Macaca mulatta: one gene and its partners. Each later gene encodes a partner of the first gene's protein in a complex. Links are inferred from orthologs where the notes say so. Each region holds a gene or a part of one and is shown in the gene's direction. Other genes may lie near its edges.

Region 1 (3,500 bases):
TATAAATTAAAATTTTCATGAATTCTGCCCCTCCCCACTCCCTGTTTTTTTTTTTTTTTTTTTTTTTTTAGGAAGTTCAGTACCTACTTCAAGTAGCAGCACTGTACCCATCTCTCTGCCTTCTGGAGGCTCTCTAGGATTGGAAAAGTTCAAGAAGCCTGAGGGGAGCTGGGACTGTGAAGTGTGCCTAGTGCAGAATAAGGCTGACTCTACCAAATGTTTGGCATGTGAAAGTGCAAAGCCAGGCACAAAATCTGGGTTTAAAGGTAAGGCCAAAAAAATAAAAATAAAGGTGATGGTAAAGCGCCTTTTTGTAAGGCCATTTAAAAATGAAGTATTTGAGAACAGCTTCAGTGTTCACTCATTCTCTCTTGAAAATTAATATAAAATGAGATTATCCTGAGATGTTTATATCTGTTTCTGAATTATTGTAAGGTCAGTTAGTTGCTTGTCAAAGGATATATGCATTTGTAATTTTTGGTAACTAGTGACAGATTGCTCCTTGTGAGTTTTGTGCTCATTTATACACCCACCTGCAATGTGTAGCCTGTTACTTCCAGTCTCATTGCCAGTATAAACTTTATCAAACTTTATCTCAGCCAGTCTGATAAATGAAAAGTGGCATGTCAGGATAGTTGTGAGGAGTGAGATACAATTCTCATACCACATAAATATTGGTCACCTTGAATTATGTTTACGACTGCTGGTAATACTCTTCAAAGTAGACCCTTTCAAAGTTATTCCTATGTTTCTTTGGCGTTCAAGATGTTTATATTTTGTTTGAGAGCATCAGTACATTAATTGTCTATGTGGTGTCTTTTATATTTTTGCAGGCTTTGACACATCTTCCTCATCTTCGAACTCAGCAGCCTCCTCATCCTTCAAATTTGGTGTCCCATCACCCTCTTCTGGGCCTTCTCAGGCTTTAACAAGCACTGGAAATTTCAAATTTGGAGATCAGGGAGGATTCAAAATAGGTGTGTCATCTGATTCTGGGTCTGTAAACCCCATGAGTGAAGGCTTTAAATTTTCTAAACCAATAGGAGATTTTAAATTTGGAGTATCATCTGAATCTAAGCCCGAAGAAGTTAAAAAAGATAGTAAGAATGATAATTTTAAGTTTGGACTTTCTTCTGGTTTAAGCAACCCAGTTTCTTTAACTCCATTTCAATTTGGGGTGTCTAATCTTGGACAGGAAGAAAAGAAAGAGGAACTGCCCAAATGTTCATCTGCAGGTTTTAGCTTTGGTACAGGTGTTATTAACTCCACTCCTGCTCCTGCTAACACCATAGTGACCTCTGAGAACAAGAGCAGCTTCAACTTTGGAACCATAGAAACCAAGAGTGCTTCAGTGGCTCCTTTCACATGTAAGACATCAGAAGCTAAAAAAGAAGAAATGCCAGCCACCAAAGGAGGATTCTCTTTTGGCAATGTGGAGCCTGCCTCTCTGCCATCTGCCTCAGTGTTTGTTTTGGGAAGGACAGAAGAGAAACAGCAAGAGCCTGTCACTTCTACTTCCCTAGTTTTTGGGAAGAAAGCTGACAATGAAGAGCCAAAGTGTCAACCAGTGTTTTCCTTTGGGAATTCAGAGCAAACCAAAGATGAGAATTCTTCCAAGTCCACATTTAGTTTTAGCATGACAAAACCATCTGAGAAGGAATCTGAACAGCCAGCAAAAGCCACTTTTGCCTTTGGAGCTCAAACTAGTACTACAGCTGGTAAGTATTAACTTTATTATTTTTTTTACAAGTTGCCTTTACAGATGCAGCAAGTCAAGTAATGGTTTGCACTGAACGTAGTTGAGAAATACAGAACTCTTTGGGAAGGAACCTAGGATTTTCAGTTTGAACCACTCTTTAAAACCCTCATGATTCTGATGAAGTCATCTGTGGATCTAATTTTGAGAAATACGGCAGTAATGCAAAGCTCAATATAGTGCATATTTATGTGTGTCTTTCTCTTCTGTTTGGGCTTTTATAATCAGAATTGGTATCTACTACCTGGAAAATAAGGATTCTTAGCTTATGAAGTATTTTCTACCATAATCTATGGTATTTATAAATAGTTACAGATAACCAGTCCTCATCAGACATTAAGAAACATAGACAACAAATATAATTAATCCTGAGAAACCAAGAGATTTTGAAAGCTGAAGTCCTGGGGGAAAAAAAATGACACAGCACCTTAAAGGTTAAAAGCATCATTGTTGGTGGATCATATTAAAGTCATTCTGTGGGCGGAATAGCAGGAAGAACATAGCTGATCATCAGATTAGTGAACTAGAATTTCCCTGAACTTAGTGCACAAGTACAAAGAGTGATCCAAGTTAGATCCACAAGTTCCTCTGGAACAGGAGTGACCTAGAAGATAAGAAGTTTTGGGGGAATATCAAAGAAGTGACAGAAGAAAATTTTCTAGATCTAAAGAAAGACATTGGTCTTAAAAATGGAAATTACCTATTGGCAAAGATCACTGAAATTTAGGACACCAAAGCTAAAACCCCAAATGCTTTCAGAGAGAAAAGCTATTTGCCACAAATAGGAAGATACCAGATTAGCATCATCTTCTAATTTGCAACATCACATGCTAAAAACAGAACAGTACCCTCAAAATGAAAATGTTCTTGAACCTAGAATTCTGTTACTAGCCAAATGTGTTTAAGTATAAAGACAGTCCGGGTGCCGTAGCTCACACCTGTAATCCCAACTAGTCAGGAGGCTGAAGCACAAGAATTTCTTGAACCTGGGAGGCAGAGGTTGCAGTGAGCTGAGATTGGCCACTGCACTCCAGCTTGGGCAACAGAACGAGCCTCTGTCTCAAGAAAACCCAACAACAACAACAAACACAGAGGCAAAATACAGGTGTTTTTAGATGTGCAAAAAGTGCAAAAGTTGAATATCCATGAATACTTTTGGATAATAAATTGGAAACACTCAAAATTAACTTTTATATGGAATTCAACAAATAACTATGAGCAGTTTTTTGTCTGTCATATATTTACTTAGAAATATAAAGATAAAATAAAAGCTAAAATTACATATTATTTGGAAAGCAACAGAAATATGATAGGGTCTAATCAGATTTGATGGTGAAACACCAGGCTGTGGTAGACACTCTTAACCATTCTTCCATTAGCCAGCTTGAAAGTGAGCCAACGTGTTCCATTTTCTGTAAGTCAGACTAATGCCGATAGCATACTGTGACCAGCCCTGCATAGTGTGAAGTATTGGAACTGAGAGATTATTGGAATAGTTTAGAAAAAAGTCTTCAATAAGGTGGCTGGATTCAGAATCATGATATAAAAATCAAAAGTTTTTCTTCAAATCGGCATATCTCATTTGTTTTTTTCTAACATTTCTAACTTGTATTTTATAAAAGCAGCAGAACTTTTAACATGCCAAATAATAAAAGAACACAAAAGGCGTACTTGTTGCTGGGCAAAGATATTCCCTTCCTCCTCCCATAATTTTAGTTCTTAGGGGAATTTTTGTAGAGCTTGA
Region 2 (3,342 bases), on another chromosome or scaffold:
CCCACTGTTCCTTTGTGTCTTCATTAGCCAGTAGCCAGGTAAAAGGCAGATCACTTTGTTTTACTACCGTAATGTAGTTGTTGTGGTAAAAGATTTTTTAAAGTTTAAATCCATTTATATTTTTTGAATATTTCAGTTAGTGTTCTTGTCTCTTTGAAAGAGAAATGACTTTGAACTGGCAATTTAGTAACCAGAAGGATGCAGACCAGAAATGAATCCATACAACTAGAGCCATCAGGCAAGGCAGAAATTATTCACTTGGTGTTAAGAAACCCCAAAATTGTGTATATTGTTTTTTATGTGGAGGTGTGTGTGTGTGTAAGGTTTATACTTTGATAGAGTTCTCAAAGAACTCTCTGCCTAATAAAAGGTAGACTCTGCCAACGTGCATCAGTCAGATTTCTTTATTCTTGCAGGATCTCCAGCCTTATGTATGTACCTGATTACAGTGGCTCCTAACCATTTGTTCTTTAAACTATCAATGGTATTTAAAAGTAATCTTGGGTTGGTTTTAATGACAGGTTACATGTCCTTAAATTCTGGGGCATGCCTTGTTTTAAAACAGGTCATTTGAAATTCACATGAAATGCTTATAAGTGGAACATTGTTTTATCTCATCACCTCTATTAGATACCCAAGCTCCAGTGGTTCCATACTGGCGCCTGCCTGGTTTAGGCATTATTGTCTACCTGCTGAAACAGAGTGCGAATGATTTCTTCAGCTATTATGACAGTCATCGACAGAGTGTCAGCAAGCTACAGAATGTAGACCAGCTTCCCCCAGATGAGATAAAAGAGGTACGAATCTTATAATGAGCTGGGGGGACTTGAGAAATCATTGCTGTTACTAGGGCCAGGGTGCTGGTCTCAGACTGAGTAAAGACGGTGTATACATTATGACTGGAGGAATTGGAATGATTCTTCTGTGTGATTTGAAGAAGACTCTTTTGCCATAGCACCAGCCTTATAAGCATAGAAACTCTTGACTGAAAAACAGTGAAGTGTAGCACCTGTTCAAAAAAATAAAAAGGCAGCTGGCCTTTGAATGAAGAGTTTTGGGTCATTTATACTGTAAAATCTGTGCTGAGAAAGGCTTCTGTTGCAGATTTTTTTTTAATAGAACTTAGGTAAATGTCTCTGTGCCGTCAGCATCTTCAATATCTGTTTAGCAAATTTTTCAAACAAAATTGGTAGCATATGAGACTTGACTGCCTTCTCTCAGTGACCCAGAATCATTCCCTCTACTTACTGTATTAATAACTGAAGATGCTGAATGACCAGGATTGCTACTAAGTAGTTTGCTGCCTTTTCCATTTGGCACAGCTGAACGTAAGGCATCTCTTGGCCAGTTCCTAAGGCAGTGCTGAAGCTTCCTGGTGTCCTGTGGCCGCCTGGATGTTGAACCACTTTATCATTCCTGGTTTGCACCAAGCTTTCTAAAAACTTCCATGTTACTCTTTTGAGTAGTCCATGCCTACTCCCTCTTGCCACTCTTCTGGTAATCTCAGGGGACATTTATTGAGTGTCTACAACATGCCAGGCCCTGAACTACATGTTCTACCTAACACCTGGGCAGATATTGTTTTTATTCTCATTTCTCGTGAGGAAACGGAGGCACAGACTTGCATAACACACCCAAAGGCATGTAGCTGGCAGGAACAGGGTGAGGCAGGAGTCAATGACTGGGTTTAGGGAACCCCTGAAATTTTGGGTTTATGCCTGGCAGTCCTTCCTCTAACGTGTAGCTAATCAGTGATGCTTGTACTTGCAAGAGAAATTGCATCATTATTATGAAGTGTGTGGCCTTCCATCAGCCTCACTTCAGTACACCTTCCGTGGAACCCAGCTTTGGAACATTAGCTGGAACCATTGTGCTCGTGTGTGTGCCACATTGAGAAGTGGTCATGGGAGCTTTGGTTGAGGGTCATATTTTAGTTATGCTCTAGGTGTCTACCTTGTATTTTTTGCAGGAGATACCTGACAACTGTTAGAAATTCTCCATGGGATTCTTATAGCTACTGCTTGAAAAACCTATCGTTTTGTCTTGCTTTGTTTTAATGTGACAGGAAATTCAGGGTTTCATCAGCAACCCTGACTGTGTTTCAGGGACAGACTTTTTCAAAATGCAGCAGATAAATGTTCATTTGTGAATTTGCTTCTTTGGCTCTAATTTTTTTAAATTGCTAGCTTCTTAGATAAAAAACTCTTTATCTGCAAGGATGTTTAAATTCGAGTGTTTTCACAGCATTTACCACGGTGACCTGCTGATAGTAGTTTTTCATTAAAAATTTTGTTCCAGTTGATGTCATTCTAATAACCACGTTTGTTTCTTCTAGTTGTGTCAGTCTGTGATGCCTGCTGGTGTTGATAAAATCTCCACTGCCCAGAAATATGTTCTAGCAAGACGGCGCTTGGTGAAGGTGATCAACAATCGAGCTAAACTGCTTTCCCTTTGTTCTTGTATCCTTTATGAAATCATGCACTTGAGTGATGACCTTGAAATGTAGGAACTCTTCACTTATTCTCTCAATATTTGGGCACCAAAACCAGGTGGAAGGAGATATAAACTTAATTTTTTCCCAGTAAATGCCTAATGTATTTCCAAATTGTACTTTTTTGTTCTTATCTTTTAGAGTAGCTGGTAATACTGATAATATACATGGGCACTTTCTGTCAGGGAAGAAGGTAGGGACATGAGACTGCTGGCACAGGACCCCCACCTCCTTCCTCAGCACAGCTTGCTGCTTCCTCTTGAGGAGCCTTCAGTGGGACCCTGTCTGTCAGACTGAGGCTGTGGCTACCTCATTAAGTGAGTGCAGTCTCTCCTTTTTTCTCCTCCTCAGAAACTGGTTTGTAAAAAATATTTGATGAGATTATGTTCCTTTAATCTGAGCTCTGATATAGTTATCATAGAGACCTGCCTATTTATTCTTTGGCGCCATCTGGAGTACTACTTGTTACATTGCATGCCCACGGATTCTCAAGATTCCTTATTTGCCTCGAGAACCTTGTTTAAAAGCAGAAGACTGCAAGGTAAACTTTCTGCTAAAAATTAATGAACCATAAATACCTATTTGTGCCTTGAAAAGCTAGTAACGTTTTTATTTATTTATGTTTCCAGATTACTTAGAGTGAATTGGGTGAATCAAGAGCTGCTTAGTCACTAGACGTAGCTATTTCTTGCATTTTACTTTCTGTTCACGGGACATTGTGCCGAGCATAAGAATATTCTAGAGCCTGCTCATCAGCTGTTCCTCAGCTTCTTGCTGCAGTTAGGGACTGACCCAGCTCTAGAAGAATGGAGTAGGTCTGCTATTATGCTGATTCTTATTGCTAGAGTGGG
Region 3 (4,292 bases), on another chromosome or scaffold:
TTTGACCAGTTTCCTTTTAAAACGTTGTTCTCAAACTTTACTAATTTCCTCTTCCTAATTTCAATTATACAATTTTGTTCTTCATTTCTAACATCTTCAAATAAATGCCTGGTCTATTTTTATTCTTTCTTATTTAAAATAATGTTCTCCTATAGTTTGGTCTGTGTCTTAAAATGTTAACATATAGTTTTTTTCAATATCACTATGTTCTAGTAATTACAATTTCTCTTTCCTTTTAGACTCAAAGGTGATTTATAAAGGTACTTTAAAATTTAAAATACGAACAAAATAAAAGTTCCGCTTTTGTTTTTTAGGGGTGCTATCCCTTAGCTAATTTTTAGCTTGTTCTATCATACTATCTTTACTTGTGCAAATTTAGCCCATCCTTGTAGGTCTAACGTTTATGCCACCTCTTTAGGAAGCCCATCTTGTGCTCTCTCCCTTCTCTAAAATTTTATATACATCCCTTAAACATATGTTTACATATTCTCCGCCTTCAACTCCCATTCTCAGGCTATTTTATTCCCGTTTATGAGATTTGCTGTTTAGCTCAGTATTTTGTGGGTTTTCAAAAGATTCCACTCAATTTACCGAGCACCTATGCACCAGACATTTTATTAGGTACAAGGAAAAGCGTTAAATAGATATAATCATGGCCTTCAAGAAACTGAACCTGGTAAGGGAGACGAATAAGTAGACATTCAAGTGAGCTTTAGGAGACTTGGTTTGGTAGTGAATACAGTCTCACGTGTATTAACAATTTACAGCACCGTAAAATAAGAGACAGAAGCCAACAAATCCGTTTCAAACAGTTCAAAGGAGGAAAAGGAGAGGGAAGGGCGGTTTAGATACAGCATCACCATAAATAGCCTGATAATCTAACCCTGTGATAATCCAAGTATAGTCACAGCACCTGCCTCAGAATCACTTGGAAGGCTTGTGAGGAATACAAACGCAGATTCATACCTACTGAAATTAGAATGGAGAAAGGGGCATTTAAGTCTGCATTTTAAAGACATTCCCCAGGTACTGAAGCCATCCAAAGTTTTAGAACAGAGCAGAGCCACGCTTCGCAGACCTTGTTCCTCAACTACTGCCTCCTTCTAGCCGGAGGGTGGCGTGCAGCGTGTCCCTTCCCTTCCCACCGTCCAAGTTATCTATCCAGTTTTCGAACGTCGGCCCACAGACCGCAGGACAATACGCGAGAGACTAGGAGCACCCACTACGCAAACCACCACACAGGGATCGGAGGCCGGACCCGCAAAGGATTTGGGGAAAAAGGCATCAGGCCAATCCGAAGGGCGAGAGCGGCCCTAGGAATGGAGGGGCGGGGTGGGTGGCGGGGGGGGGGGGGCGGGGAGAGAGAGGTTTTTTTTTTTTCTTGATTGACGTAAAGCGTACCCAATTAAAATAAAACTGGTAAAGCTTCCGCCATAATGGGCAGAACCATAGCGACATTTCAACCAATCCAGCTCAAAAGTGTCTATGTTGTGGGAGGTCCCTGAGGCCGCTGAGGTCGTTCGTGTCTGTTGAACGGTTGTGGGAGTCTTGCTGCTTTGGGTAGGGGGTTAAAATCGTTTCTTGAGAGGAACGACTCTGTCCGAAGAGATAATGAGTTTAGCTCTGAGGTCGGTAATAAGGAGGCGGCAGTGCTCTCCACACCCCGGAGCGGGACCTAGGGAGGGTGTGTGTGGAAGGGAGGCCGTTTGGGGCCGTGGCGAGGCAGGGGATGCTGTTTGGGATGCGGGAAAGGAGCCTAGGGCAGCCTGTCTGGATCACTCACCCTCTGGGCTCTGGTGCCCTGCAGGGAACGAGACTTCCAGTGCATTTCTACTAAGGAGGTTATTTCTGTCAGCGCGTAGGGCTTTCGACTACCAAAAAAATGGGCTTAGTTGCGAGCGAGGGGGAGGGAATGAAATATCGCGAGGCTTCTACTCTGTTGCTCTGAGAGATCAGGCCGCGGAACATCCCTTCATTCAATTCGTATGCCTGGCCAGGGCCCCACCTCCGCTGCTCTGCTGCTGATGCAATCATCCACCTATAAATTTTGGAAATAACAAAAAACTCTTTGCTATTCTCCCAAGGTCCTGCTTTACGGTGTAATTAGAAACCCATTTTAGTGACTAATTGGCAAACTGTCTCTTGGATTTCCTGTTTCTTTCATTTCTTTACCTTTCAGTTCTAACCTCTAACCCTCTGTCTGTTACCCGCTCCCCCTACGTAGACGTTGTACCGTAAAACTATACATATACTTAGGACACTCTAAAAATGTTCCATGTTCTGCTAAGGGATAATCATGGTACCCTTGGATGGGGTCAGGGGTGGGTCGGTTCTGGACTTGGCCTCTAAAAGTCTCAGGAAGGAAAAGACTGACCCCAGGAATACCCAAGTTTGTGTCAAGTCAGGTCTCATGAAAGGAAGATCTTCCTCAGCTTTGTCATACTGCATCTACTGGTCACTTCCTAGCCTTTTTTTTTTTTTTTTTTTTTGTAGCGTTCAGAGACCAAAACGACTTTCAAATGCAGCTAGATACGTGTTTTAAATACAGTCAACTGGTTTTGACATGTTAATGTGTTACCAGATTGTGTGTTTCAAAACTTGTTCTTATACCAGTGTTGCGGCTCCATTGGAAAACTTGGAGCACATTTAGATGGGCAGCTCTTACGGAAAACATTTCTGGCTTTAAAGTAATTTTTGCTTTTTTCTTTAAGCGTTTCCAGAGTTTATGAGAAGTTTAACCTCCAGTTTACATCTTAAGTGAGACAAGACTTATGAAGCACAAATATTGTATACTTTTTTGACATCTAATATTTGTCATATGTTTAGACTCATTAATATTTTGGGTGATTTGTTAATATCAGTGGAGGAAATGACACATAAATTGCCAAACTGTTAGAAACGTGTAATCTAAAAACATTTTGAACCAACAGTCCCAAAATATAAGTTAATCCAGTTGTATTTTTTGTAGTAATTTTATGAACTTAATTATCAGAACTATCAAAAGTAAACCGATATATGGTGATTGTCAGTTACGAATTTTGGTTTCATTTGGAGATTTTTTGGTTTCTTTAACATTCTTGTAGAATAATGTGAGTGTTTTTGTTTTTTTTTGGTTGGAGTTGGTTGGAGTTTCAGACATAAAAGTAATGTTGCTTATTCACAGTTCTTGAATAAATAAAAAGTTAGGGAAAGTGGGAATAAATAAAAAGCTGGGAAAAGGAAAAGTTTGGTCCTCATTTCTTTTAATAATCTGTAACACTCTTTAGTTTTGGGAAGTTCATATTTATAGCAATTTAGACTATGGAATAAACAGGGCATTGACTCATAAAGGGAAAGTTTCCCTGTCTTTCTCCAAAGTACTTTCTTTTTTGAAATTTAGAAAATAATTATTGGCTAATTTCTGTTAGTAAAGAGAATTAAAGTGGACTAAGGGCTTTTTCTTTCCATTTCATAGAAGTGAGCTTGTAGTAGACAAAACAAAGAGGAAAAAAAGAAGAGAACTGTCTGAGGAACAGAAACAAGAAATTAAAGATGCTTTTGAACTATTTGATACAGACAAAGATGAAGCAATAGATTATCATGAATTAAAGGTAATGGTATACTTTAAAATACTTGTTTCTGTGTTAAAATGATTTGCATTTTGACAGTTGCTTTACATTACATTTCTAAGTAATTATTTTAACTAAATTGGTTTTGGAACTATGAAGGCATTTTAAGCATTCATAGTTAGATTCTATAATAATACTGAATAGAACTCCTAACACAGTTTTTAGAAAATCTTTTTCACGTGATAAAACGAATAGCATTTTAAATGTAACAATACATTCCTAGGGAAGGTGCTTATTTTTCACTGACATAATTAAAGGATTTCAAACTGGAATTTAAACTATTACCATATTCTTTTCACTGTTTTTTTTGTTTTTGTTTTTGTTTCTTGGTGACTCATACTGTTTTCAGATTGTGGGATTGTTGTCTTTTAATCTTATAATTTGTATTTGTTAGTAACATAGTCTCAATCCACTTTCTGTGGTACAAACAACTTCAGTGCTGTTTGATGTTGACACATGCTTGTAGGTAAAAATGTCAACTTTAAGACCTAGAATGTCAAGGTGTAGAGAGGGATTTGTAAATTATTATTTGTCAGGGTATAAGGAGAGATTTGGGTTTAGGGTAGAATGGGACTTACTTTCAGCACAGTGGGAAAGATAGTATTTTGAGATTTTTAATAGCCTTAATGGATAGGTGAATGTAAGTGTTTATTTGATAGTTTTAATTTTTGTAATTTCTTAAGG
Region 4 (3,500 bases), on another chromosome or scaffold:
GAGGACAGTGCAGAGTCTGGCCTGCCTGGAGGAGGCGGACCACACCGTGGGTTTTATTCTGCAGCTCTCCAACTTCATGAAGGAGTGGCACTTCCACTTGCCTCAGCTCATGCGTGATATCCAGGTGGGGGCCCCGGATGGTGTCCTGGAGTCTGGAGTAATGCTTGGAGACAGGGAGGCTGTGAGCTCTCACTGGGGCACCTCTAGTGAATTGCAGGATGTTCCTGAACGGGGGCTTTTCCCTTGCGGAACACAGGGTTTGGTGTCATGTGCTTACTCTGGCTAAATGTTTCCTTTCATAGTCAAGGGTAGCCATGTAGATTAAGAACTTGTACTTGCCGGGCGCGGTGGCTCAAGCCTGTAATCCCAGCACTTTGGGAGGCTGAGGCGGGCGGATCACAAGGTCAGGAGATCGAGACCACAGTGAAACCCCGTCTCTACTAAAAATACAAAAAATTAGCCGGGCGCGGTGGCGGGCGCCTGTAGTCCCAGCTACTCGGGAGGCTGAGGCAGGAGAATGGCGGGAACCCGGGAGGCGGAGCTTGCAGTGAACCGAGATGGCGCCACTGCACTCCAGCCTGGGCAACAGCGTGAGACTCCGTCTCAAAAAAAAAAAAAAAAAAAAAAAGAACTTGTACTTTATCAGTTAGATATTGGTTCAGATCCTTTGAGAATACACCTGCGGGCCGGGCGCGGTGGCTCAAGCCTGTAATCCCAGCACTTTGGGAGGCCGAGGCGGGCGGATCACGAGGTCAGGAGATCGAGACCATCCTGGCTAACACGGTGAAACCCCGTCTCTACTAAAAATACAAAAAGAAATTAGCCGGGCGTGGTGGCGGGCGCCTGTAGTCCCAGCTACTCCGGAGGCTGAGGCAGGAGAATGGCGTGAACCCGGGAGGCGGAGCTTGCAGTGAGCCGAGATCGCGCCACTGCACTCCAGTCTGGGCGACAGAGCGAGACTCCGTATCAAAAAAAAAAAAAAAAAAGAATACACCTGGGACCAGGCGTGGTGGCTCATGCCTGTAATCCTAGCACTTTGGGAGGCAGTCAGGAGTTTGAGACCAGCCTGGCCAACATGGTGAAACCCCATCTCTATTAAAAATAGAAAAATTAGCTGGGCGTGGTGGTGCGTGACTGTAATCCCAGCTACTCAGGAGGCTGAGGTGGGAGAATCGCTTGAACCTGGGAGGCGGTGGTTGCAGTGAGTCAAGATCGAACCGTTACACTCCAGCCTGGGCGACAGAGCGAGACTCCCATCTCGGGGAAAAAAAAAAAAAAAAAAAAAAAAGGCTGGGCGCAGTGGCTCACGCCGGTAATCCCAGCACTTCGGGAGTCCAAAGCGGGCGTATCACAAGGTCAGGAGCTCAAGACCAGCCTGGCCGATAGGGTGAAACCCCATCTCTACTAAAAATACAAAAATTAGCTGGGTGTAGTGGCGCACGCCTGTAGTCCCAGCTACTCGGGAGGCTGAGGCAGGAGAATGGCGTGCACCTGGGAGGCGGAGGTTGCAGTGAGCCGAGGTCACACCACTGCACTCCAGCCTGGCGACAGAGCAAGACTCTATCTCGGGGAAAAAAAACACTGAACAAAACCAAAAACACACACACACCTGGAGCTGGGAACCAGCTGGAGGTGAAGAAAGAACACAGGCTCCAGAGCCAGGCAGGCTTCTCTCATCTGCTGGTTGTATGAGCTTGGCCAAGTCACTTCAGTTATTTGTAACCTTTTATTCTTTTCTCATAAAATGGAATCAGCCATAATCCTCATCTTCATTTTATTTATTTATTTATTTATTTATTTATTTAGAGACAGAGTTTTGCTCTGTCGCCCAGGCTGGAGTGCAGTGGCGTGATCTCGGCTCATTGCAAGCTCTGCCTCCCGGGTTCACGCCATTCTCCCGCCTCAGCGTCCCAAGTAGCTGGGACTACAGGTGCCCGCCACCGTGCCCGGCTATTTTTTTGTATTTTTTAGTAGAGACAGGGTTTCACCGTGTTAGCCAGGCTGGTCTCAATCTCCTGACCTTGTGATCCGCCTGCCTCGGTCTCCCAAAGTGCTGGGATTACAGGCTTGAGCCACCATGCCCAGCCTCATCTTCTATTATTTTAGGACCTTATAATATACGAGGCACCTAGCTGGGTCCCAGTGAAACAGTCCAGTCCTGAGCCCTACTGGCCCCGAGTTTGTAGCCCTGAGTACTTAGTGGCTATAAGGGCTTTAAAGCTGGAAAGTGGCCAGGGGAGCATGAGGGAGGGAGGGAGAGAAGAGCAGCAGCGAGTGAGAACGCGTGGGTGTTACGTGGAGGGCTGTTGGTTTGGGCTAGTTGGGTGACTGGGCTGCTGACAAGAGAATCCCTCATCTCTCCTGTGTCTCTCCCAGGTCAACCTGGGTTACCTGTGCCAGGCATGCACCTCCCTCCTGCACAGTCGAAAGATGCTGCAGCATTACTTACAGGTAAGCGTCCTATGCCATGAGGGGCTGGAATACCTCACTGTGGCTTCCCGAGCTCCACCTTCATTTCTTGACTCTCCCTAGAACAAAAATGGGGATGGCCTCCCCTCGGCCGTTGCCCAGCGAGTCCAGAGGCCACCGTCTGCTGCTTCTGCTGCCCCCTCCTCCTCCAAGCAGCCCGCTGCTGACACAGAGGCATCAGAGCAGCGGGCCTTGCACACAGTCCAGTATGGCCTTCTCAAGATCCTCAGCAGGACGCTGGCAGCCCTGCGCCACTTCACCCCAGATGTCTGCCAGATCCTGCTGGATCAGGTACCGACCATCATCTGTTCGGCACCACCTCCCCTAAAGGCTCTGCTCTGCTGTGCACTGAGAGCTACCTGGGGCCTTAACTGGGTCCTGGATGGCTCTTGACTTTTCTTGCAGTCCCTGGACCTTGCTGAATACAACTTCCTGTTTGCCCTGAGCTTTACCACTCCCACCTTTGACTCCGAAGTGGCCCCCTCCTTTGGGACCCTTCTGGCTACAGTGAATGTGGCCCTCAACATGCTTGGAGAGGTAAGTGGGTTCTGTCACTGTCCTCTCTCCCGGCTCCTCCCCCAGCCCGCCACTTTCAGCCAACCTTGGGCATGGTACCTAGCCTCCCGAGACTGCTCCTCTCCGTAAACTGAACATGACAGCACCTCTGAGAATTACTGTGAGGATTAAATGAGGTAACTGATGAAATTTGTTTAGTGCAGGGCATGCAAGTAGGAAGCTCTCAGTAAGTGGGAGCTGTTCCTGTTGTCTTAGTTTTTTACCCTTCCTTCTCTTCAGCTGGACAAGAAAAAGGAGCCCCTCACCCAGGCAGTGGGGCTCAGCACACAGGCAGAAGGGACCAGGACGTTAAAGTAAGCGCTCTTTCTGAGATTTGATAAGGGGCTGGGGAAGTCATGGGCCCACTATTCTCAGGTTTGGCCAGCCTGGCCCTCTGTAGCAGTGCCAAAAACCTGCTTCTCCTCCCAGGTCCCTCCTGATGTTTACCATGGAAAACTGCTTCTACCTGCTCATCT
Region 5 (3,500 bases), on another chromosome or scaffold:
GGCCTTGGTTATTGGGCAATGACAATCACCAGGCATGGTACTGAGTGCTTTGCATAGTTTCTTCTTTAACAGGCTGTACTGGGGCCAGGAGGCTTCCAGTGTGTGTGAGTTGACAGAGCTGGAAACATAGATAAGACCTTATCCTCTCCTGCCTCCCAAGTGGCAGGGCAAGTCACCTCGACCTGGTCCAGCCCTGAGAGTCCAGTGCCGGTGGAGAAGCAGAATGGCCAGGCAGAGATATTATGCACTTGCCTTCATTCTCCCAGGGTACCTAAGGCCTCTCTCATGCTCTCCTGAGCATTTAGTTGCTGTCGAGTGGTGATGGTGATTTTTTTTTTTAAGAAATGTCCTGTTACCACTTGCCATGTGTTTTTTCAGCACTGAGTTCCTTTTGCCATCTGTCTTAGAAAACAAATCCAAAATCTTTCAGATATTTTCTCTAAGCCTCCTGCTTTTTCTCTGTGGTTCCTACTCATCAGCAAATTTAAAATCATTGATTTCACTGACTCTCTGGGTCATTTTGGAAAATTAGAAAGCACAGATGTCTTATTGCTGACTCCTCTGTGCTTCTAGTAAGTCTGCCCTTTCATGTGTAGTTTCCTTGGTCTCTTTTATAGTTTTAATAGGACTTTATATCTTCAAGAAAGCCAGAGTCTGGCTGATGGAGTACATATATTGCCCAGGGCAAGCAATTTCACTTGAAGTATTTTTTGGGTCCTAATTGCGTCTCTTTGTTTAAAATAATAGCTCTGTGCACCCGTCTGTCTCTTCCTCCCCCTCCATAATTTGTCTTGTCAGCCTGGAGTCATAGATAAGTTTACTAGTGACACAAAGCCTATTATCAACAAAGTTGCTTCCGTGGCAGAAAATAAAGGACTGTTTGAAGAGGCAGCAAAGCTGTATGACCTTGCCAAGGTATAGTGTGCCTGCTTCCTTCTTCTGCACTTCACAGGTCTGCCAGCCTTTCGGCATTAAATGTGCAGCCACTTCGACAGTGTCGTTGTTGTAGCACCCTCCCTGTAGAGGCGTTTGCTCTAGTGCTTAGACAGTTAATGGTCCAGTCAGGACAGAATTCCCATTTTACAGCTGTATTTCTTCCCATAAGATTTTTCTGACCAAACAACATATTGAAAGTATGTCCTGCAGGCATTGAACTATTGTCTCACTTGGCAGCAGAATTAGCATCCATCACATTTCCATGGTGAAGCCACTGTTGAAAATGGCATTATGGGCCGGGCGCGGTGGCTCAAGCCTGTAATCCCAGCACTTTGGGAGGCCGAGGCGGGTGGATCACAAGGTCAGGAGATTGAGACCATCCTGGCTAACATGGTGAAACCCCATCTCTACTAAAAAAATACAAAAAACTAGCCGGGTGTGGTGGCGGGCGCCTGTAGTCCCAGCTACTCGGAGGCTGAGGCGGGAGAATGGCGAACCCGGGAGGTGGAGCTTGCAGTGAGCCGAGATCGGGCCACTGCACTCTAGCCTGGGCCACACAGCGAGACTCCGTCTCAAAAAAAAAAAAAAAAAAAAAAAAAAAAAAAAAACAAAAAAGAAAATGGCATTATGCTGACCCTGGCAGCCACAGACACACTGGGGAACAGTAGTATTAGAAGATAAGACCACATCAGTGTGCAGGAAGGAGTGAAAGAAAATAAGACCACAGCTGGGCATTTTGAGATGACTAGAATACATGTTTCTACCTAAGAACAAATGATGACTAAGAACATATGGTAGCTGCTAAGGATTCTATGACCTAAACAAGATTACATTCTCTTCTTTATCAGCTGAGAAAAGTAGACCAAAAAAACAGCTATAGGCCAAGTGCAGGGGCTCACGCCTGTAATCCCAGCACTTTGGGAGGCCAAGGCGGGCACATCACTTGAGGCCAGGAGTTTAAGACTAGCCTGGCCAACATGGCAAAACTTCGTCTCTGCTGAAAATATAAAAATTAGCCAGGCATTGTGGTGCATGCCTGTAATCCCAGCTACTCAGGAGGCTGAGGCACGAGAATCACTTGAACCTGGGAGGCGGTAAAAAATGCTTTGATTGAGGTATAATTAAGATGTAGAAAAATGTGCAATAATTATATGTACAGCTTGACGAATTGTGCATAGGTGTATATCTTTGTAACCACCATCCAGATCAAGATACCAAACATTTCCATCCATCACCCCAGAAAGTTCTCTTTGGTGGGTAGGGGGCATTATATACTTGTTCCTTTTATTGATTATTTTATTGATTGCTTCCTTAATTTTAAAAACGTGAGCAGAATGCTGACAAGGTACTGGAACTGATGAACAAACTGCTGAGCCCTGTCGTCCCCCAGATCAGTGCCCCGCAGTCCAACAAGGAGAGGCTGAAGAACATGGCACTCTCCATTGCTGAACGGTAAGCCAGGAGCTGACTCCATGGGACCCTGAGGGTGCCACTGCCAGTGCCAGGCCACCTTTGCCCACCCAAATGCATGTTCAGCTTTACTAGGTAACAGCAGACAGCTTTCCAAAGTGGTTCTTCTAACTCATCATGCCACCAGCACTGCGTGAGTTCCTTTGTCCCCACATCAGAACTAGCACTTGGTACTATCAAACTTAACATTTTTGCCAAAGAAATGGGTATGAAAGGGCATCTCAGTATTTTAGTCATGCACATGAAGTTTAATTGTAGGCATTATGCTCACCTATATACTGTTGTATACTCTCATCAGCCCTCTCAAAGGCATTCAAGACCAAAGCTAGTGATAGTTGGATGGGGGAGATTCTTAGAGGTGTCGTGGCCAGTGTTTCAGACAACCTGGATCCCCAGTGAGTTAACTGAATTATCAGACTTTTAACTAGTTTAAGTCCCAGGCTGAGGCTAACAACATTACTTTTTGTGCTCTCTATAGATATTGCTAATAAAATGACCCAGAGAAAACTGGGTTTGGAGTGCTTTCCCGGGGTAACACAAAAGAGCATTCTTTGGTAAATGAGATATCTCCACCTAGCAAACAATCCCTAGTGATGGCCGCTCGGCTTTTTGCCCGTCAGGACCTTCTACCTTTCATGAAGATTGGATGCTGAGATGATGGTCAAGGCTGGAGAACCACGCTCCATGTGGAGTACCTGTAGGTGGATTCATACCAAATCCACTATCAGTGCTTGGCTGTTTCAAAATAAACACCATTTTACACTCTTTAATTAACTTCACCCAGAGAGCTCAAGAGGTTTTGATGCTTTTTATGTATTTTTTGTATGTTGAGACAGGGTCTCCCTCTGTCACCTAGGCTGGAGTGGAGTGCAGTGGTGCAGTCATAGCTCACTGTAACCTCGAACTCCTGGGCTCAAGCAATCCTCCCACCTGAGCCTCCTGAGGAGATAGAACTACAGGCACATACCACTACACCTGGCTAATATTTTAATATTTTGTGGAGATGGGGTCTCGCTGTGTGTCCAGTCTGGTCTCTCACTCCTGGCCGGTCTCTGACTCCTGGCCTCAAGCAGTCATTCCGCCCCAGCCTCCCA
Region 6 (4,234 bases), on another chromosome or scaffold:
ATTCACTACAGAAATTTATTGTACGAAAGACTGTAATATCATCAGTCAGCCTTATATCCAGACAATCTCAGTTCTCATCCTGTCACTACCACTTTCTGACTGAGGGCCACCGGAGAAATTTCTCAACTTCCCCTGTGCTTCCCTTACCTCAACAATTATTATTATGTATGTGGATGTGTATATATACATATATATATCTTTTTTTTTTTTTTTTTCCTGAGACGGTCTCTGTCACCCAGGCTGGAGTGCAGTGGCGCAATCTTAGCTCACTGCAACCTCCACCTCTTGGGTTCATGCCATTCTCCTGCCTCAGCCTCCTGTGTAGCTGGGACCACAGGCGTCCACCACCACGCCCGGCTAATTGTATTTTTAGCAGAGGTGGGGTTTCACCATGTTGGCCAGGCTGGTCTCCAGCTCCTGACAGGTGTTCCACCTACCTCAACCTCCCAAAGTGCTGCGTACAGGCGTGAGCCACCGCGCCCAGCCCATTTTTATTTTTTGAGGCAGGGTGTGGCTCTGTTACCCAGGCTGGAGTGCAGTGGTACAATCACAGCTTACTGCAGCCTCGACCTCCTGGGCTCAAGCAATTCTCCCATCTCAGCCTCCTGAGTGTGCTGAGACTACATGCGCATGCCATCACTGCTGGTTAATTTTTGTGGTTTTGTTTTGTTGTTTTTTGTAGAGACGGGGTCTCGCCATGTTGCCCAGGCTGGTCTCAAACTCCTGGGCTCAAGCAATCCTCCTGTCTCGGCCTCCCAAGTGCTGGGATTATAGGCGTGAGCCACCGGCGCCTGGCCTACCTCATCAATTAAATAATAACCCCTAGGATGACTAGAAGTCTTCAAGATTACATGAGATCCCACATCTGAAGGTTTTTGCAAAGGACGTGGCACAAACTCGTGCAACTAGAGATGCATATGGCTCTTGCTCTGGAAATGATCACCTTGATAGGAGCAAACAAAGCTGGTCTTCCGTGCCCTTTAATCTCCCCTTCCAGCCTTCCACCTTCCACACTGGCGACCCCCCAACCCCGTTTTTCTGAACCTCCCTTCCTCCCCTTGCATAGCCCAAAGCCTCTCTCTAAAGTAGCCCACCGAAAACATCTGTCAAGTTCCTAACTTATCTGAATCGGAAGCTACTAATAGCCAACCTACATCTAAGAGGAACTGTAAGGTGTCAGAGGAACAAGGAGCATAGGTCGCTTAGACGTGGGCCACCCAAGAAGACAGATTGACACTAAGCGAACCCGCGCTGTCTGCGAAGGCGGGAGCGGCACCAGGACGATCCAGGGCGCAGGCGCCGGGGCCCCACGGCCACGCCCCTATTCAGCACGAGTTGGCCAATGGGGAGCGGCGGCCGGGAGAACGCGCGGCTTCTTTAGGTTCCGCTGCCTCCCCGGCCAAGCTTGACGTCACCAACGCGCGCCGGAAATGCGAGATCAACTGCGCGCCGCTGGCGCTGAGGGAAGGAAGTTTGCAGTCCAGCGGCCTAGGTTCTGTGGGCAAGGCCGTGGGAGGCAGCGTTGGCTGCTTCGACACACCGAGGGCGGCGCGATGGGAGACGAGATGGATGCCATGATTCCCGAGCGGGAGATGAAGGTCAGAGACTAACTGGGGCCTCCCTCCCTTCTTTAGTCCTGGCGTTGCCTTGGAGCCCAGCTGAAAGGCGAAGCGCGGTGCCGGCTGTCCCGTCTCCTGCTTGAACAGACTACCGCGTTCACCGCTCTCAGCTGCGCGTCTGCCGCGCCGCTGGCGTGATAGCCCCACCGAATGCAGTTTCCCAGTCCCATCCTGGTCTCGTGCACGTCTCTTGAGTTACCCTAGCTAGTTTCATGTGGCGGTCACAATAGTGGCAATAACTGCTGTGTATGGAGCGTTGACTGTGTGCCAGTCGCTGTGTAGTCATCGCAGCAGCCCTACGAAGTGGTTATTAACGTAGAGGAGTAAGTCGAGGCTCGGAAAGTGATTTCCCTAAAGTCACATTTGACAGCGGGGCTGAAAGCCAGCATCGTTTAAGACCTTCGCTCTGCCAGTATTTCTGTAAGGCGGTACGGGCTTGCCTAACGTAGGGTCAGGGGAGGTCATCCATCCTGCAGAACCTTTAGTTGACTGGACTAGGAAGACTGTTTTGATATCGGTGTATCAGCCTCAAACCAGGAACCTAAAGGGAGGGCTAAGTGTTTCCAGTGATGGCAACGTGGGAGTCCCCCAGGGATAACTTCAGGATGGTGTGTTTAATAGTTCTTATATGTGTTCTGACAGAATGAGGGTGCAGCAAACGGCCTACATCTGTTTTAAATAGTGAAAGGAAGTAAGATGCAGGAAGATTTTAGTCATCTGTGTGAACAGTAAATCACTAACATGCATGTAGGGCATAGTAATACATACCCTGTTTAGAATAGTGATTTTTTTTTTTTTTTTTTTTTTTGAGACAGAGTCTCGCTCTGTCTCCCGGGCTGGAGTGCAGTGGCCGGATCTCAGCTCACTGCAAGCTCCGCCTCCCGGGTTCACGCCATTCTCCTGCCTCAGCCTCCCGAGTAGCTGGGACTACAGGCGCCCACCACCGCGCCCGGCTAATTTTTTGTATTTTTTAGTAGAGACGGGGTTTCACCGTGTTAACCAGGATGGTCTCGATCTCCTGACCTCGTGATCCGCCCGTCTCGGCCTCCCAAAGTGCTGGGATTACAGGCTTGAGCCACCGCGCCCGGCCTTTTTTTTTTTTTTTTTTAAGACATAGTCTCGCTCTGTCACCCAGGCTGGAGTGCAGTGGCATGATCTCGGCTCGCTGCAACCTCCACCTCCCCAGCTCAAGCGATTCGCCTGCCTCAGCCTCCCGAGTAACTGGGATTACAGGCACCTGCCACCATGCCTGACTAATTTTTTATATTCTTTGGTAGAGATGGGGTTTCACCATGTTGGCCAGGCTGGTCACAAACTCCTGACCTCAAGTGATCTGCCCTCCTCTGGCTCCCAAAGTGCTGGGATTACAGGTGTGAGCCACCGTGTCGGCCTAGAATAGTGATTATTTTTTGAGAATCACCACCTGTGGTGAGCCACCTAATGGGATTGTGTCATATTCCTCAGATATACTGGGGTAGAAGAAAAAAAGGGTTTATTAATAGAATCACAGACTTAGAAGATGGTAATCTCAGACTCCCTTTGGCAGCACATATAAAATTGGGATCATGCAGAGAAGACTAGCATGGCCCCTTTACATGGATGACACACAAATTCGTGAAGTGTTCCATGTCAGAAAACACTGAAGGCCGAGCGGAGTGGCTCACGCCTGTGAGCCTGCACTTTGGGAGGCTGAGGCGGATGGATGACTTGAGGTCCGGAGTTCGAGACCAGCCTGGCCAACATAATGAAACCCTGTCTCTACTAAAAATACAAAAATTAGCCGGGCATGGTGGTGGGCGTCTGTAGTCCCAGCTACTTGGGAGGCTGAGGCAGGAGAATTGCTTGAACCTGGAAGGCAGAGGTTACAGTGAAGCAAGATCGCCCACTGCACTCCAGCCTGGGCGACAAAGCGAGACTCCGTCTCAAAAAAGAAAAAAAGACAACTGAGACAGACCGTGTTCTCAGTAATATATATTTTTGTTGTACTGAAATTGGGTCTACTGAATATAACTTGTTTTAATTTCTTTATTTATTGAATTGATCTTGTTTTGATTCTTCACAACAGGATTTTCAGTTTAGGGCGCTAAAGAAGGTGAGAATCTTTGACTCCCCTGAGGAATTGCCCAAGGAACGCTCGAGTCTGCTTGCTGTGTCCAACAAATATGGTCTGGTCTTTGCTGGTGGGGCCAGTGGCTTGCAGATTTTTCCTACTAAAAATCTTCTTATTCAAAATAAACCCGGAGATGATCCCAATAAAATAGGTAAGTTCCGTGGTTTATGTTGCAAAGTAGAGAGAGGAGTGTGGTGGCATGCTCTTGTGTTTCCTTCCCAAGAAGTCATTCTAATACTAAAATGAACACTGCTGTCAGTTTGAAGGTTGACTCCCAAGAAGATTAATGGAAGCCTTTCTAGGTTTTCTCCTTGGTCCTTTGTACTTTTCCTTACATGAGTTGTTCTTCTCAGCTCAAGAGGGAAGAACTTAACCATTATGCCATACTTTTATTCTTGCCCAGTTGAACTTGGGCTCTGGCTCTCTGGGTGAAGGGTTTTATTGGCATGGGTTTTCAGTTGGCACAACAGTACGATCCAAACTATTGGCAATGTGTACTATTTAG
Region 7 (4,111 bases), on another chromosome or scaffold:
TCCCAAGCAGCTGGGATTACATGCACGCATCATCATGCCCCCGCTAATTTTTCTTTTTTTTTTTTTTTTGGAGACGGAGTCTTGCTCTGTCACCCAGGCTGGAGTGCAGTGGCGCGATCTCGGCTCACTGCAACCTCTGCCTCCCGGGTTCAAGTGATTCTCCTGCCTCAGCCTCCCGAGTAGCTGGGATTACAGGCGTGCATTACCATGCCCAGCTAATTTTTTGTATCTCACTGTTTCACCATGTTGGCCAGGCGGGTCTGGAACTCCTTACCTCGTGATCCGCCCACCTCTGCCTCCCAGAGTGCTAGGATTACAGGCGTGAGCCACTGCGCCCGGCTAATTTTTCTGTTTTTCGTAGAGGCCGGGTTTCACCATGTTGGCCAGGCTGGTCTTGAACTCCTGACCTCAAGTGATCCTCAAGTCTTGGACTCCCAAAGTGCTGGGATTACAGGCGTGAGCCACCACACCCGACCTTGGTGTATAGTTTTCTTCAGGCACGTTCAGCTACAGATTTGAATGTAATCGAAGTTGTTTTTACTGATGAAGAGTTAGGCAATGAAGTAATTTAATGGTATTCAGGATAAGGAAGAAACACCAAAGAAGTGAGGGACAGTGAAGAGCTTGTATAACAATGGATTTCAGGTAGAATGAGGGGGCTGCACTGCCAAAGTTGGTGTCCCAGAGGGAGTGAAGTGGAAAGATAGGAAATGATGGTCGGAACCAGATAAATGAAACAGAGAATGACAGGGAATGGCTGTGGTCACTGGTAATAGAAGTGACCAACAAGCGTTGGCTATCACTAAGGAACAAAACCTTCCCTGCTGGAGATTAGCATTTTCCCCGATTTTGAACATCTACCCCCACAATATCTTCTAAACATCCACTATGGGCCCTTATTGCATTGACAGCCAAGTGCAAGATCACGGTTGGAATGAATGGCAAATTCTTTTCACGTATCCAAGTGAGTAGCACTCAGGTAACCTCAGCAGGTGGCAGCATCAAGGTTTACCACATTACGTTTCATTATACAGGAATACACGAATACAGTCTCTTGGGGGGAAAAAAGACCAAAACCAAAGGCCCTTCCCTCACTACCCCTTCCTCACCCCGCCAACCCAAGTGCCACTGAAGAGCGAAGGGAGGATCGGCAAAGATTTACAGACGGACACCCTAACCGAGGGAGAGGTGACCAAACACCCGGGATCCGGCAGAGGACGCCCAAAGGCCGGACCTCCCCGGACCTCGCCCCTCCTGGGAGACTGAGCCCCGCGTTTTGGAAACAGAAACAAACCCGGTCCCGCCCCCTGCCCTGCGGCCGCTGAGAAAAGGGCACCGCCCTCCGGAGGCGTTCCAGCCGGCCACTCGAAGATTCCAGCAGATACAGTCGGCCTCCCCTGCCCGCTTCTCTTCTGGATTCCCCGCTGCCCATCCTCATTCTCCCGGTGGAAGCCCCGCAACGAAGGACGGAAGCCCCCTTTCTGCTCCCGGGATGCTTCACCCGTCCGCAGCTCCGCCCGCCCCGCCCCCGGAAGTGACGGCGGCCGCGCGGCCCTGCCTTTGTCCCGTCGGGCATCGCGGCGACGGCGGGAAGATGGCGGCGGCGGGATCCCTGGAACGAAGCTTCGTGGAGCTAAGCGGGGCTGAGCGCGAAAGGCCGAGGCACTTTCGGGAATTCACAGTCTGCAGCATTGGTACGGAAGTGGCCAGGGAGGGCGCGATCCGATCTGTCCCCTCGGGCTCCTCTCATGGGTCCTAGGGTCTCTGACTGCTGGGTTCATCCTCCTGAGTCCACATGCCTCCAGCCCCGGGATCAGAGATTCCTTGATGTCCGACGTTTTCCTCTTTTCTTTGTATGGGTTGTCAGTCTGTCACCCTCTGCTTTATCAGGTCCCTTAGTCCCTGTCATTTCTCAGAAGACGCGTGTGCAGGCTGACCACGTTCATTTTGCAGGGACCGCAAATGCCGTGGCTGGCGCCGTAAAATACAGTGAGAGCGCGGGAGGCTTTTACTATGTGGAGAGTGGCAAGTTGTTCTCCGTAACCAGAAACAGGTTCATTCATTGGTAAGTGCTGTGGTTCGCCAAACTCCCCTGGAAGGTAGGGTTTGGTGTGTAAATTTTAGTTGCTGTTCCCAAAGTGCTATTCTAGAAGCGGTAATCGACACTTAGGGAAAGAGAAAGTTTTTTTTTTTCAGTTCGTATCAGAGTCGGGAAAACTGAGACAGTTCTAGAAGAGTTTACCCTCCCCCCCCACCAATACACACACACACACCAAGCAACACCAAAAGCAGAGGGAATGTAGCTTAGGGGTATAAAGCCCATAAGACTAGTTTTAAACATGAACCCATTATGTTTTTATAGTGCTTTACAGCTTCCTTCATTGAACAAATATGTTCGAGCTTCAATATGTCAGGCATTGTGCTAGGTACCAGGACGAAATGAACAAAACTGCCATCTTCATCATGCAAGACGTTGTAGCAATGTCAGAATAGTTGTGGACTCACTTTTCATGGGGAAATTTTGTGGAGGAAAACTTGCCCTAGAGGAAAAATACAGGGGTTACGAGAGGCTAATGAGAGGACCAAATGTTATTAGTGGGGCAGGAAAAGGCTTTCACAGTTACCCTGAGATCTAAAGGACACGAGGTTAGCCAGGTATGGGGAGTGGACAGAGAGGAGTCCAGCAAGCAGGATCACCATATGCAAAGGTCACAAAGTGGAAAGAATGTGGCAGGTTTGGAACTGACCAAAGATCTGTGTGGCTTAAGTGCAGTGGGTAAAACAGAAAGTAATGTGAGATACTGAGGCTGGAGAGGTAGGCAGGACTCGGACCATGAGGGACCCTTAGGCCATTTTTAAGGATTTTTGGATTTTATCCTAAGTACATTGAGTAATAATGGAATAGGTTTTTAAAGAGTTACTAACATCAAAATTGCATTTTTGGATGGGAACAGTTAACACTGGGGATTCCAAAAGGAGCGGGGGAGCAGAGGTTGGAAAACCTATCAGTTACTGTGTTCACAACTTGGGCGGCAGGATCATTAGAAGCCCAAACCTCATGTAGATAGGAATATATACACAATATACTCATGTAACAAAGCTGCACATGTACCCCTGAATCTAAATTTTTTAAAATGTATTTTTAGAAGATCTCAGTCTACTTTGTGGAAAGTGGATTTGGATTAGATGGGTATAATGCAAAAAAAAGTTTGCTTTTATGATGGCCCAAGTAAGGGTTGCTGGTGGTTCAATTGTGGGAATGAATAGAAATAGAAAAGTAGATGGATTCAAGATACCTTTGGAAGATAGATTCACTAGGACTTGGTGGTGGATTGAATATGGGGTAAGGGATGGTAAAAGAAAAGGAGAGAACAAGGACAGCTCCCTGGTGTCTCATGTGACTAACCAGATGTGAGTGGGGAGGGGTTGCCATTTACAGAGATCCATAGAAGATGGATTTTGGAAAGATATGAATAATTCTGTTGGACATAGTAAATTTGAAGTACCTGGGGAGCAGCCCTTTGGAAATGTCAAGTAGGCATTGAAATTTACAGGTCTAAGGCTCAAAAGAGAGACTTTATGTTAGAGATACAAATTTCATTTAGTTAAATATTTTGGCTGGGCACAGTGGCTCACACCTGTAATCCCAGCACTTTGGGGGGCTGAGGTGGGAGGATCTCTTGAGGCCAGGAGTTCAAGACCCCATTTCTACAATTTTTTTTCTTTTTTCTTTCTGTTTTTTTTTCTTTTCTTTTTGAGAGACAGTCTGGTGGCTCCATTGTCCAGGCTGGAGTGCAGTGGTGCAATCATGGCTCACTGCAGTCTCCGCCTCCTGGGTTCAAGTGACCCTCCCACCTCAGCCTCCCAAGTAGCTGCAATTACAGGTATGCGCCACCATGCCCAGCTGATTTTTCTATTTGTTTTTGTAGAGATGGGGTTTTGCCTGGTTGCCCAGGCTGGTCTTGGACTGCCGGACTCAAGCAGTGCCCCATTCTCGGCCTCCCAACTTGCTGGGATTACAGGCGGAGCCACCATGTCCGGCCTGATTTTTAAAAATTAGCCAGGCGGGGTGGCATGTGCCTTTCATCTTAACCACTCAGGAGGCTGAGGC

The links.
Region 2: NUP153 (region 1) and NUP205 share a complex: the UniProt entries of both Homo sapiens proteins name them as parts of the nuclear pore complex. The link is inferred for Macaca mulatta from reciprocal best matches to the Homo sapiens genes NUP153 and NUP205.
Region 3: NUP153 (region 1) and CETN3 share a complex: the UniProt entries of both Homo sapiens proteins name them as parts of the nuclear pore complex. The link is inferred for Macaca mulatta from reciprocal best matches to the Homo sapiens genes NUP153 and CETN3.
Region 4: NUP153 (region 1) and NUP188 share a complex: the UniProt entries of both Homo sapiens proteins name them as parts of the nuclear pore complex. The link is inferred for Macaca mulatta from reciprocal best matches to the Homo sapiens genes NUP153 and NUP188.
Region 5: NUP153 (region 1) and NUP93 share a complex: the UniProt entries of both Homo sapiens proteins name them as parts of the nuclear pore complex. The link is inferred for Macaca mulatta from reciprocal best matches to the Homo sapiens genes NUP153 and NUP93.
Region 6: NUP153 (region 1) and NUP214 share a complex: the UniProt entries of both Homo sapiens proteins name them as parts of the nuclear pore complex. The link is inferred for Macaca mulatta from reciprocal best matches to the Homo sapiens genes NUP153 and NUP214.
Region 7: NUP153 (region 1) and NUP160 share a complex: the UniProt entries of both Homo sapiens proteins name them as parts of the nuclear pore complex. The link is inferred for Macaca mulatta from reciprocal best matches to the Homo sapiens genes NUP153 and NUP160.

Annotation. Positions count from the first base shown.
Region 1 is NC_133409.1:165,434,602-165,438,101, forward strand, and holds part of NUP153 (nuclear pore complex protein Nup153), read left to right. Parts: intron 1-71; coding exon 72-266; intron 267-833; coding exon 834-1,718; intron 1,719-3,500. UniProt on the Homo sapiens protein: Component of the nuclear pore complex (NPC), a complex required for the trafficking across the nuclear envelope. Functions as a scaffolding element in the nuclear phase of the NPC essential for normal nucleocytoplasmic transport of proteins and mRNAs.
Region 2 is NC_133408.1:175,474,967-175,478,308, forward strand, and holds part of NUP205 (nuclear pore complex protein Nup205), read left to right. Parts: intron 1-630; coding exon 631-797; intron 798-2,335; coding exon 2,336-2,459; intron 2,460-2,903; coding exon 2,904-3,032; intron 3,033-3,342. UniProt on the Homo sapiens protein: Plays a role in the nuclear pore complex (NPC) assembly and/or maintenance. May anchor NUP62 and other nucleoporins, but not NUP153 and TPR, to the NPC.
Region 3 is NC_133411.1:96,792,236-96,796,527, reverse strand, and holds the start of CETN3 (centrin-3), read left to right. Parts: upstream 1-1,492; 5' UTR 1,493-1,611; coding exon 1,612-1,628; intron 1,629-3,454; coding exon 3,455-3,590; intron 3,591-4,292. UniProt on the Homo sapiens protein: Plays a fundamental role in microtubule-organizing center structure and function. As a component of the TREX-2 complex, involved in the export of mRNAs to the cytoplasm through the nuclear pores.
Region 4 is NC_133420.1:18,641,133-18,644,632, reverse strand, and holds part of NUP188 (nucleoporin NUP188), read left to right. Parts: coding exon 1-124; intron 125-2,376; coding exon 2,377-2,451; intron 2,452-2,532; coding exon 2,533-2,760; intron 2,761-2,874; coding exon 2,875-3,006; intron 3,007-3,264; coding exon 3,265-3,338; intron 3,339-3,453; coding exon 3,454-3,500. UniProt on the Homo sapiens protein: Component of the nuclear pore complex (NPC), a complex required for the trafficking across the nuclear envelope. Required for proper protein transport into the nucleus.
Region 5 is NC_133425.1:52,438,642-52,442,141, forward strand, and holds part of NUP93 (nuclear pore complex protein Nup93), read left to right. Parts: intron 1-798; coding exon 799-915; intron 916-2,269; coding exon 2,270-2,388; intron 2,389-3,500. UniProt on the Homo sapiens protein: Plays a role in the nuclear pore complex (NPC) assembly and/or maintenance. May anchor nucleoporins, but not NUP153 and TPR, to the NPC. During renal development, regulates podocyte migration and proliferation through SMAD4 signaling.
Region 6 is NC_133420.1:16,423,360-16,427,593, reverse strand, and holds the start of NUP214 (nuclear pore complex protein Nup214), read left to right. Parts: upstream 1-1,434; 5' UTR 1,435-1,553; coding exon 1,554-1,598; intron 1,599-3,151; exon of another isoform or gene 3,152-3,253; intron 3,254-3,684; coding exon 3,685-3,880; intron 3,881-4,234. UniProt on the Homo sapiens protein: Part of the nuclear pore complex. Has a critical role in nucleocytoplasmic transport.
Region 7 is NC_133419.1:17,735,945-17,740,055, forward strand, and holds the start of NUP160 (nuclear pore complex protein Nup160), read left to right. Parts: upstream 1-1,311; 5' UTR 1,312-1,492; coding exon 1,493-1,694; exon of another isoform or gene 1,695-1,953; coding exon 1,954-2,065; exon of another isoform or gene 2,066-3,638; intron 3,639-4,111. UniProt on the Homo sapiens protein: Functions as a component of the nuclear pore complex (NPC). Involved in poly(A)+ RNA transport.